2 linked regions of the Drosophila melanogaster genome follow. The protein of the gene in region 1 interacts with the protein of each later gene in a pairwise test. Each region holds a gene or a part of one and is shown in the gene's direction. Other genes may lie near its edges.

Region 1 (4,846 bases):
TTGAAATCAATTGTTGTCGACACGAGCACAAACAAGGAAGCAGCTCCAAAGGGGCTGCGGTTGCTTAGGCGAAACGACTTTTCGCTCAGCTGCAGAGCAACCCACTTTCCACTTTGCCCATCCTTTTGCCCGCCCTCTCATCCTGCGGCCCCGTCAATCGATTCAATATCCCATGGCCATTAGAAGGAAGCCGGCTCGACTACAAAATTGAGCCCACATAAGCTGAGGGGAAATCGCCTTGTTGCCACTGCCACTGTCTTCGGGTTTGGCTTTCGCTTTTGCTTTTGCTTTGGCATTGGCTTTGGCTCAAATAACCTGAAAGGCCCAATCAACAGGTGTCTTTGCCTCTGCTGCGTGCTGGTGCTTAGTGTTTCTGTGTGTCTGGGTGTTTGTGGTTCAACAACCGGGCCACCGGCGGCAAGGAGTCAGCTTCACGGCCGAGTCGGATGCCTCGGTGTGTGCCAAGCCAAATGGCGAGAAATAAAACTGGAATAATTCAATAGGAGGCGTGGCCAGCCCACTAAGCCCATGGGTAGGAAGTGGAGGGGGGGGGGTGTGTGGGTATGGCTGCGATGGTTGGATTCAGTTCGGAGAAGGCAGCTTCATAGCTTGCGTAATGAATGTCCTTAGCAGGCTGGGCACGTTTCATGTTTTTTCGTTCATGTTTGCTCTGCCAGGCTCCTGGAATCCCCCATCCAGGCCGCCAATTTGGAGCCAAACGGAAGGACCAGAATGCTGGCCATTAAAGCTCGTGCTCCTCCAGCTCCTTTTGCTCATTTCACTTAAGTTCATTTCGCAATTTAACACTACCAGGACACGCATCAACGAGCTGGCGTCTTAATTTGTGCCGCTTTTTCTGCCTACGCTCATAATAAATGCAAAAAATAGTAAGGGCAAAAAACAAAAAAAAAAAAAAACAAATAAATTTCCAGCAGAGGAAATGCCGAAAATATTTGCATGCAAATTTCCGACCTCCTTCACGCAGAAAAAAGCTGCACACCAGCAGCCGTTTGTCCCGTCAACCGCAATTTGAGTAAATTTAATTGAAGCCCCTTGGCCTCCTGCTCATGCATATTTATTGAGTCGTGGAGGGGACGGTGGGAACGGAAGCGGAGCACCCTTTTTGGGTCCAAGCAACAGTTGCCGCACATTGCGCATACGCCGCGTGTGCCACGGAGTAAGTTTCTGGCGCAGCACAGGGGCAGATCCAGCGCCAACTTAATTTCCACGGCACAACTACTACTACAGCCGATTATGCTAATGTCGAAAGAAAGAAAATTCAGGTGTTCTCCCGCAGCAGAACGGGGCAAGGAAAGGGACAAACAAGGAAAAGGTGACTTCGTCCTGGCTCTCGCCCTTCGTATTACCAAAGAAAGACAGCAGGAATTTGCAGCTGCAAGAGAGGAGGATATCCCTTTTGCTCCGCTTTCCCCTCGTTTGCTTATCGCGCTGACTTCTTGCTTCCGGTCTTATTTCTTGCCTTTGGACAGGACGACGCTGCCTGTCTGCCGTATAACAAATAGCAAAATGTCCTCCGTCCTTCCGCCCGTCTGGCTGACTGGCATTCGTGGCTGTGTCCCGGCTCGTCAACAAATTGTTGCTCCGCCGTTGCGTGAGTAAATTCCGTCGGCTTCTCGGTCTCTCGCTCGGCTCTCCTGCCATTCCGACATTGCGCATACGCCGTGTGTGCGTGAATTGCACCACGATGGCCCACTGTGCCTGGGGACGCGCCGCCTGTGCCAACTGTGCTATGGCCCGTATAACACCGGGCAGCAACAGCTGCTGGACGCACAGTTCATCGACAGTCCTCGTCTGGTTGGGTCCTTGGGTGGCAAGCGCGGCAAAAACGCAAAAACGCAGCACGAGTAGCAGCAACAGCAGCAACAGCAGGCACAGCAACACCAAAAGCAGCAACAGCATCTGTATCAGCCATCAGCAGTTCGTCCTGAAAAGCAAAAGAGCAGTGCGAGTTTTAAAGTTTCGTGGCTTATTTCCCGGAAATACCCGGTGACCATTTCGCGAGTTTTATATTCGATTCGATTCGAGTGCGGACTGAAGCGGTCAAAAACGGAGCTTCGGGTTCCTCATCAAAGAGCAGTCAGCCGGATTAATCCAAGCATTTGGGTTTGCGCACCGCCCAGCGGCATAAAATGATAAGTAAGTGCACAAAGAAGTACCACCATATTGTTAAGTTTTAATAAATAATTCAAGTTATGGGAGCAAAGAAAATACATTTAAATGTATACATAATGTTCGCTTTAATACAATATTAGAAATAGTTATTTCATTTTTGGCTAGATATACAGATTAACCAGAGTAAATATAGCAGCATAGCTTCACTTTCGTTTAATAATAACTTAATAATTATGCCGAAAAGGTAAAACGCCATTTTAATGCCACTTTATCTCAACTGCACTTTCCGCTTAAAATAAAAATAAAGGAGGCAGAGACAGAGAGCAAACCGATTTGAATCGTGTGCCCGGCTAATAAATGTGCTTTGCAATGGCGCAGCCTCATGCATTTTTTTCACACCCAACCACCCGATGTCCTGGCTTGCCACTTCCCCGCTGGTCCACTTCACATGTTGCGGCTGTTGCACGAGTGTCTGTTTAACGCCACTTAATGTCCTTTCTATTTACTATCCACTGGCTGTGTGTGCGTGTGTGTTTGTGCTGGTGTTGATGACTGCACAAAGCACACAAACTCGAAAAAAAGAACACACACACACGGCAACACTTCTGTGTACTTGCCACTCAACAGTTTCGTGCGAGAAAAAAGGGAAAACGCCTTTGGTGCAGCGTGGAAAACGGGAAACTTTTCCCTACCCGCCTAGAAAAACACTAAACAAAAGTTGAGTCGAGCAAAACAACAGAGGCAACAAACATCGCGAAACAACATTAATTTACGTGCTAAAAGCGGCCTTGAAAACTTGCAGCCTCCGTGCGGTAATTGTGCTTGAAAATGGGCTGCGCAGGGGGGTAGGGGGAGTGGATGGAAATAGCCCGGGAAACTGTCCGGGAATCGTCCTTGTCCCGGTGAAGTCGAAAATATACGTAGCAAAAGCAAGGCGATAAGTAAATTGGAAAACTTCATTACGATGAGTCGAAGCGAACACCTCGGTTTTCACTTTTTCAGCTTACTAATTAGCAGCAGCTTTTTGCAAACAATCTTCAGGGAGCCATGAAGATTTCAGATTCAGAATTACAACTTATTTCCTCATTTTACGGGGATTTACGAGACTTTCGTCTAAGCGAATAATGAGTAAATCAACTCAGATTAGTACGCAATGCACTCGAAGAAAAGACTGTCAAGAAATGCGAGTATTTGCTGCCCGAGGCGAAGGATTCCCGGAAAATCTGGATTGCAATTTATATTATTATTCCCTTGCTTCAGAAAAATTTGTTAGCAGGGTTTGTCTGGGTGTAAATCAACATGGAATGCCAAGGGTTATTAAGTTGCACTGGGAAAAAAGTACCAATCGATGCAAGCTTTATTTATGTATACTAACATTCATTGCATATCCATTCAAATATGTTGAAAGTTTTGGAGTATGGACATTTAATATACGTATGCATGATATAATAAAGAAGATAATTAAGTTGATTAAATTGTTTTTAGCTCATATATAGTGGCCTAAGCAAATCCCACCTCAGTGCGTAATTTTTCAATTATTGTGGTCAACGGCATGCGTAGTATTGAACAAACTGCATCGGTTGGTGGTTGTGGTTATGGTTTAAGGACTTGATTTCAGAGAAATCAATTTAAATGATTAGTTTTGGTTTTTGTGGTTTGTGGTTTTCCCAGTGTAGGTAAGCGTTCAATGATCTCGGTTTTAAAAAAGGGGCCATAAAATGTCGTCGGGAAGCGCAGAGTAATTTGGAATGGGGTAATGGGGGTGCTGGTGCGCACACAATTTCAGACGGAGTTAATGAAACAATGCAGCGGTTGCTTTAAGACCTTTTCAAACCAACCCAGCAGCAGCACCCCCCCCCCCCCCTCCGCTCATCAACCCCTACCACCTTAAAGTGTGCAGCAAAACTCGCGAGTGTGTGAGTGTGGAAATTTTACGAGAGGCGCTTTTCTTTCCGCTTTTCGCCAGATCCTTTGTCGGTTTAGCTCTTGCTTTCGCTTCACTTCTGCCTTTATTTTGCTGCGAAGCGATGCTCATTTGGATTCGCATTTCGTTGTTGCTTCTCTTGTTTTTGTTGTTCACTGACAACCCATCGAGTTTCACCCGGCGCCCAGCATCCACCACGCCCTTTGAAATCGTCGAGATTTACGCATATATTTGTATGGAGTTACCCACTCGGCAGCGTCCCTTCGCCGCATTTTCCCCAAATTTCCCCACACTTTCACCGCCCGGGTTGACGGGCCGGGCACAAGTCGAAAAACTCAATTGCGGCTTTTTATGTGTAATTCGCATTTTTGTTCGCCTTCTCCGCCCGTCAATTTCATTGTCGTTCTGCTCGTCGGATATTATTTTTTAATTTAACTTTTATATTCGGAGCTTTCCTGCTGATCCACCCGCCCCAGCGATTCTTGTTTTTTGGGTGACTGTTTACTTTTATGGGCCAGTGTCTTTTGATTCTATAATTTGCATGATTCGTACTCTTTGTCGTTGTATTGAAATTAATTTAAATACGACAATCAGCGCGAGTCGAGAGCCCCAAGTCCGGACTCCGGGCCACTCGACTCCCAGCGCCCAAAAAGGGCAGACAAAAGTCCGTGGAGCCACCGGAATGGCAACAATGTGCGCAACGACATCAGCGGCTTATGTTAATGAGCACTTACAAGCTGTAATGACGGTGGGTACGATGGCGGTGTGGGTGGAAATGGACAGGAAAAG
Region 2 (4,714 bases), 5.9 Mb from region 1:
CCTCACTATGCCGGCTGTAATTCAACACGAAACCCTTCACCTGCTGGGCCTTTTCCACGAGCAGAGTCGTCCCGATCGCGATGAGTACGTGCAAATCGACTACGACAATATCCCGAGGAAATACTGGTCGCAGTTCATGGCCATGGATCAGACAACCACCTTCAATGTTCCATACGATTACGAGAGCGTTATGCACTATTCGAAGAACGCCTTCGCCAAGGATCCCTCAAAGCCAACAATTCGTGCCCTAATCGGTGGTAAGGCTGTGGAGAGGGAAATGGGTCAGGTGCGAGGACCTTCCGAAGGGGATTGGACCAAAATTCGTTTGATGTACAAGTGCTAGAGTGGAGGAAGAATTCTGCGAGGACTAGGATTGGTTAATAAATATGTTGCGTTCTAAAGTGGATGTGTTTAAATGGAATGGTTTAATATGCAAACTTTCAGACCGATTGCATGGTTTTTCAATCTTTTATGGCTTTTCATTTAAGTCTATCACTAAGTCATTTAAGCCCCACCCACCCGAAAAGTGCTACCCGTTTAATGCTACCCAATCATTCAGTGTCCGTTAACTGGAAAAACGTTTTTCCAGCCTCTTGAAAATGGGTAGCCCCGCTCGAACATAAAGGAAATCCAAATCCAAGCCCAAGGCGAATGCATTTGATTTCACAGAAGTGCAAGTGTAAGTGTCAGTTAACTTTGAAGCAGACTAAGGAGCAGTTGGGGAAGAAAGCGGGGCTTCTCAATGCTGAATGGGGTCTGCCGTGGATTGGGCATGAGTCCAAACGACTGGGCAGCAAACAATCCGAATCCCTGGCACTTAATGTGCACTAAGTGCTTAAGAAGGCCGAGTGTCTGGAGCTGCCTATTAGAAGTCTCTCACTCCCCTGGCCAGTAACCACCCACTTTGGATCAGGATACCATTTCATGGATAGCAATTGCGGAATTTAAATAACCTTTTTAAATCCCTGACAGCTTTGCAAAAATCGAATTGTACGAGTTAAAGAATCAACCAAGCAAGAAGAAATTTTCATCTGCTTAAATTTAAAGAATATATCTTTGCTATAAAGAATCCAATTATTTTGACATGAATTATCTTATATGCCCAGATAGAAATAATATTTACTGAAATGTGACGAATATTATTTAATAGCTTTGACCTTTAAAGAAAACTGTCAGAAAACAAACCAATAAAAGCTAATAAATGTGCCGCATGGTAGTAAGAGAGTATTCCTGTATCTCCACTAATAATTTAGCAACAACATACAACGAATGTGTAAATGTTTGCTTAAAGGAGAATATAAATAACAAACAAAAGAATAAACGCTGTAGTTTACCCTTTTGAGTGGTACAAAATAGCACTATTGGCAAGTGTTGAGTTCTGCAAAGCGGGGCAAAGAGTTGTGGCTTCGTAAGGATGCCAACAGATGGCCATTAAATGCTTGCCTTAAGAGAGCCGGATATCAAAGAGACTCCACATGTTTCGGGAAGTTCGAAAGTGCCATCGGTGAGAGTGAAGACCGACTGGAAGTGAGCTGGCAGGATGAATACATTTTGGCCCACTGTTCTAGGCGGAAAAGCTCGCTCTCTCGCCGAAAAAGGGGAAGAGGAAAATGGGAGCTTTGGCTGGTCGCCTGGCTTTTCAAGCCGACGCCGTTCGTGTGGCTTTCAGTGTATTCAGTGCAGTCGTATCGTTCGGTTCGTTCTCACGGTGAAAAGCGGTGGAAGGTCCTGTTCGGAGGACAACCTCAATACGCCACTCACACACGCACAAGTGGGCTTACTCACACGGACACGGGTGCGCTAGTCGAAAGTAAAAGTTGTCCAGTGTGCCATAAAGGTAAATAATAAATGAGCCAATGTGAAATATACGCACGCAATGTGAAAGCAACGAAATATATGAAGAAATCTACGGAAAAATGAAAATCTAGACCTGCGTGCCAGTGTGCAAAATCAAGTATGCAACACTTAAGTGAAACGAATATCCCAAAATAAAGTGTGCAAGAGTGCCAGCGATCCTTGAATATTCGAGTACCAAACTAAAATACTAAGCCAGACTAAAACTAAAAACCGAACCTGCCCCAACTGATCCTTCACCTCAATTCTTACCTATCAAGGCCACACGGCGGCTGTGGCATATTAACGTTGCACTCGTTGCACGTTGCACATACAGCCAACTCACACAAAAAATGTTATTCATCTTCGCGTGCTGTTTTGTTTTTTAAGACCGCCAAGGTCGTCCAGGAATACGTATATCTCTTAACGCGGTCCGAGAATTTTAGAAATAATTATAAGAAATACTTTGGGGTTTCCTTTTAAAATTTCTCGGAAAATGTTGCGATTTTCCCTCGTCTGAACTTTTGCTTTTTAACTTTTTTCTTTCGCCTTCCCTTTGGGGCTCATAAATTAGGGTCGCATTCCGCTTAACCGGGAATATTTGCATAAAATGGGAAAAAGGGCGAGAAATGGTTTAAATACGGGAATCACACGGCTGAGATATTCAACACATGAAAAAAAGGGGGCATATAAAATGAGTTCACAGGCCTTGATGGGTTGAGATAAAGCAAACATTAAAGTCCCTTTATTTAGATGATAAAAAATTGAAAAACAAAAGTGAAAATTAGCACTGCGAAAATTCCAAGGTTCATAAAGATTCGGTACCGAAACTTTTGAGTTTTATCAAAAACCCAAACATCGAAAAATTTGCAACAAAACAGGATCAAAGGACAACAGCAGCGCAGCAAAGGTGAGCCCTTTTAATTTTATTGAGCCAATTATCCAATAATTTCATTAACTAGTTAACACCAATAATCATGTATTTCCTTACAAAAAAAAAAAAAAAACAAAAACACATATCAACCAATGTGTCATTGTTTGAGTTTGGGTGGTGCGTTGGTTTTCCCAGTGGCGGAAAAGCCAAGCCAACGGGTGGTACGGTTACATTTTTATTTATTGTGATATTTTTTTTCGCTGTTTCTCTTTGCTGTGGTTAGAAGTTGTTCAGGAAAAAATGTTGCCGGTGGGAGGAGCTTGGATTGTTAGCTCAATTTAATTATGAAAATGCCAAGAATTTCTCTGGGCACACACGTGCCTAAACATACAGGTGGGTGGTATTCCAATCAACTTATTTTATTAAATGTTGTGGGGGAAGGACACCAAATTTATGCTCCTAAAAGCTTATATTAAGACTCACTGATGGAAAGGTGTTATAAATAATAATGACTATTTTTAATTAATATACAAACGGAATATTATAAGTGTTATAAGTATTTGAGAGCTACTTGTTGGTTAATTAAAATTTTATCAGGCAACTGAACATAAACCTGATTCAGTTACTACGAACTGAAATTTTGTTCTTCGGAAACATACTAATAAGCCTATTTAAACTCTTTTAAGTTCTTGAAATTAATTAGCTAATGATCCATTATTTATAATGAAACATTATTGCTAAGAACCATAAATTCGCGATGGGTAAGGCTTACATTTAAATAGGTCACGTGAAATGCCTTCGTTTTCAGTTTTACTAAGAGTCGTAGCTTTCCACTCATGTGGCACATATTTCTGTGGCATCCACCACAAATTTCCATTACTGAGATTGCCTTAGAAAATATGCTTAGATGCTACACCTTTGACCACTTTCCCAACACCATTACCTGTGAGCTCAGGGAAAAGGTAACTAAGACTTTCCGCCCGACAAGATTGCCATTTTATGCTAGACATTTTCTAAGAAAATAAAACAACATTTTATTTACACGCTGCTTCAGCAAGGTCACTTATTATGGAACTTTGCGCGTCAGAAAGTTGCCCAAATACATAAATTATTTTTATTGTACTTAACCTTTTTTTTTTTTGCCTTGACTTTCCCTATTCATTGTCTGGCCCAAATCAGCTTAAGTCACACAGAAAAGAAATTCATAAGCTTGCTTTAAGATGCGAGTAACCGAAAGATACAAATAAGTGAAGTAGGCCGAACAGAAAATAGGCTTTAAAAGCTGTTTGGTTACTCTATAAAATATTTCGGTTGAGCTTATAGAATTTCAGAACGACATTAATAACCCTTCTTTCGTTAGAAAAAAAAGGGTTATAATATTGAGCCAAATTATAAGCAAAAAATTGTATTTTATGTGCATGGTTTCCTACAATTCATCGAATTGGATTGATACAAAAAGTAACTGTAGCTGATTAAACTTGCTTATGACTCTATGACCTGAATATATTTTCCCATTTAATCAGCTTACAATTGTTGCAATATTTTTTTAAATGGCACAATAAAGTTGAAAATGCAATGGAAGTGCAACACAAAACGCGTCCATTATATTTGTTTTGGCATTGACATATTTACTTGATTTAAATTTTTATGAATACCCTTTTGTTTACTTGTGAAACTCTTTGAGCGTACAATTTTGAATGAATGAAATATTATGCAAATGTTTGATAAATAGCAGGAAATCAAAAGCAAACAAAAGGAGAAAATTGTTAAGCAAAAATATAATTGATGGCAATCGCACACAATTGCAGCCGAGCGAAGACATAATTAAAAGAAATATATATGTATATGTATATATGCGTACGTATGGGTGTATTAATCAAACATAATTACTCTGGTCATGCATATTTGATTAATCGGTTAAAAGGAAGGTCCTGTGGTCGTGTTCCACTTTTGTTTGACCTGACAGCTGTCGCTTTAAATGTCAATGCATTGATGACCCATCAAAAG

What was found.
Region 2: the proteins of CG31191 (region 1) and dpr9 interact in a two-hybrid assay, tested with the Drosophila melanogaster proteins (one large-scale study listed by BioGRID).

What each region holds. Positions count from the first base shown.
Region 1 is NT_033777.3:20,942,475-20,947,320, reverse strand, and holds the start of CG31191 (uncharacterized protein), read left to right. Parts: upstream 1-1,790; 5' UTR 1,791-2,150; coding exon of another isoform or gene 2,151-2,157; intron 2,158-4,846.
Region 2 is NT_033777.3:15,074,159-15,078,872, reverse strand, and holds the start of dpr9 (defective proboscis extension response 9), read left to right. Parts: upstream 1-1,666; 5' UTR 1,667-1,837; intron 1,838-2,586; 5' UTR 2,587-2,743; intron 2,744-4,714. Other genes in the region: CG6974 (uncharacterized protein), read left to right, coding at 1-343.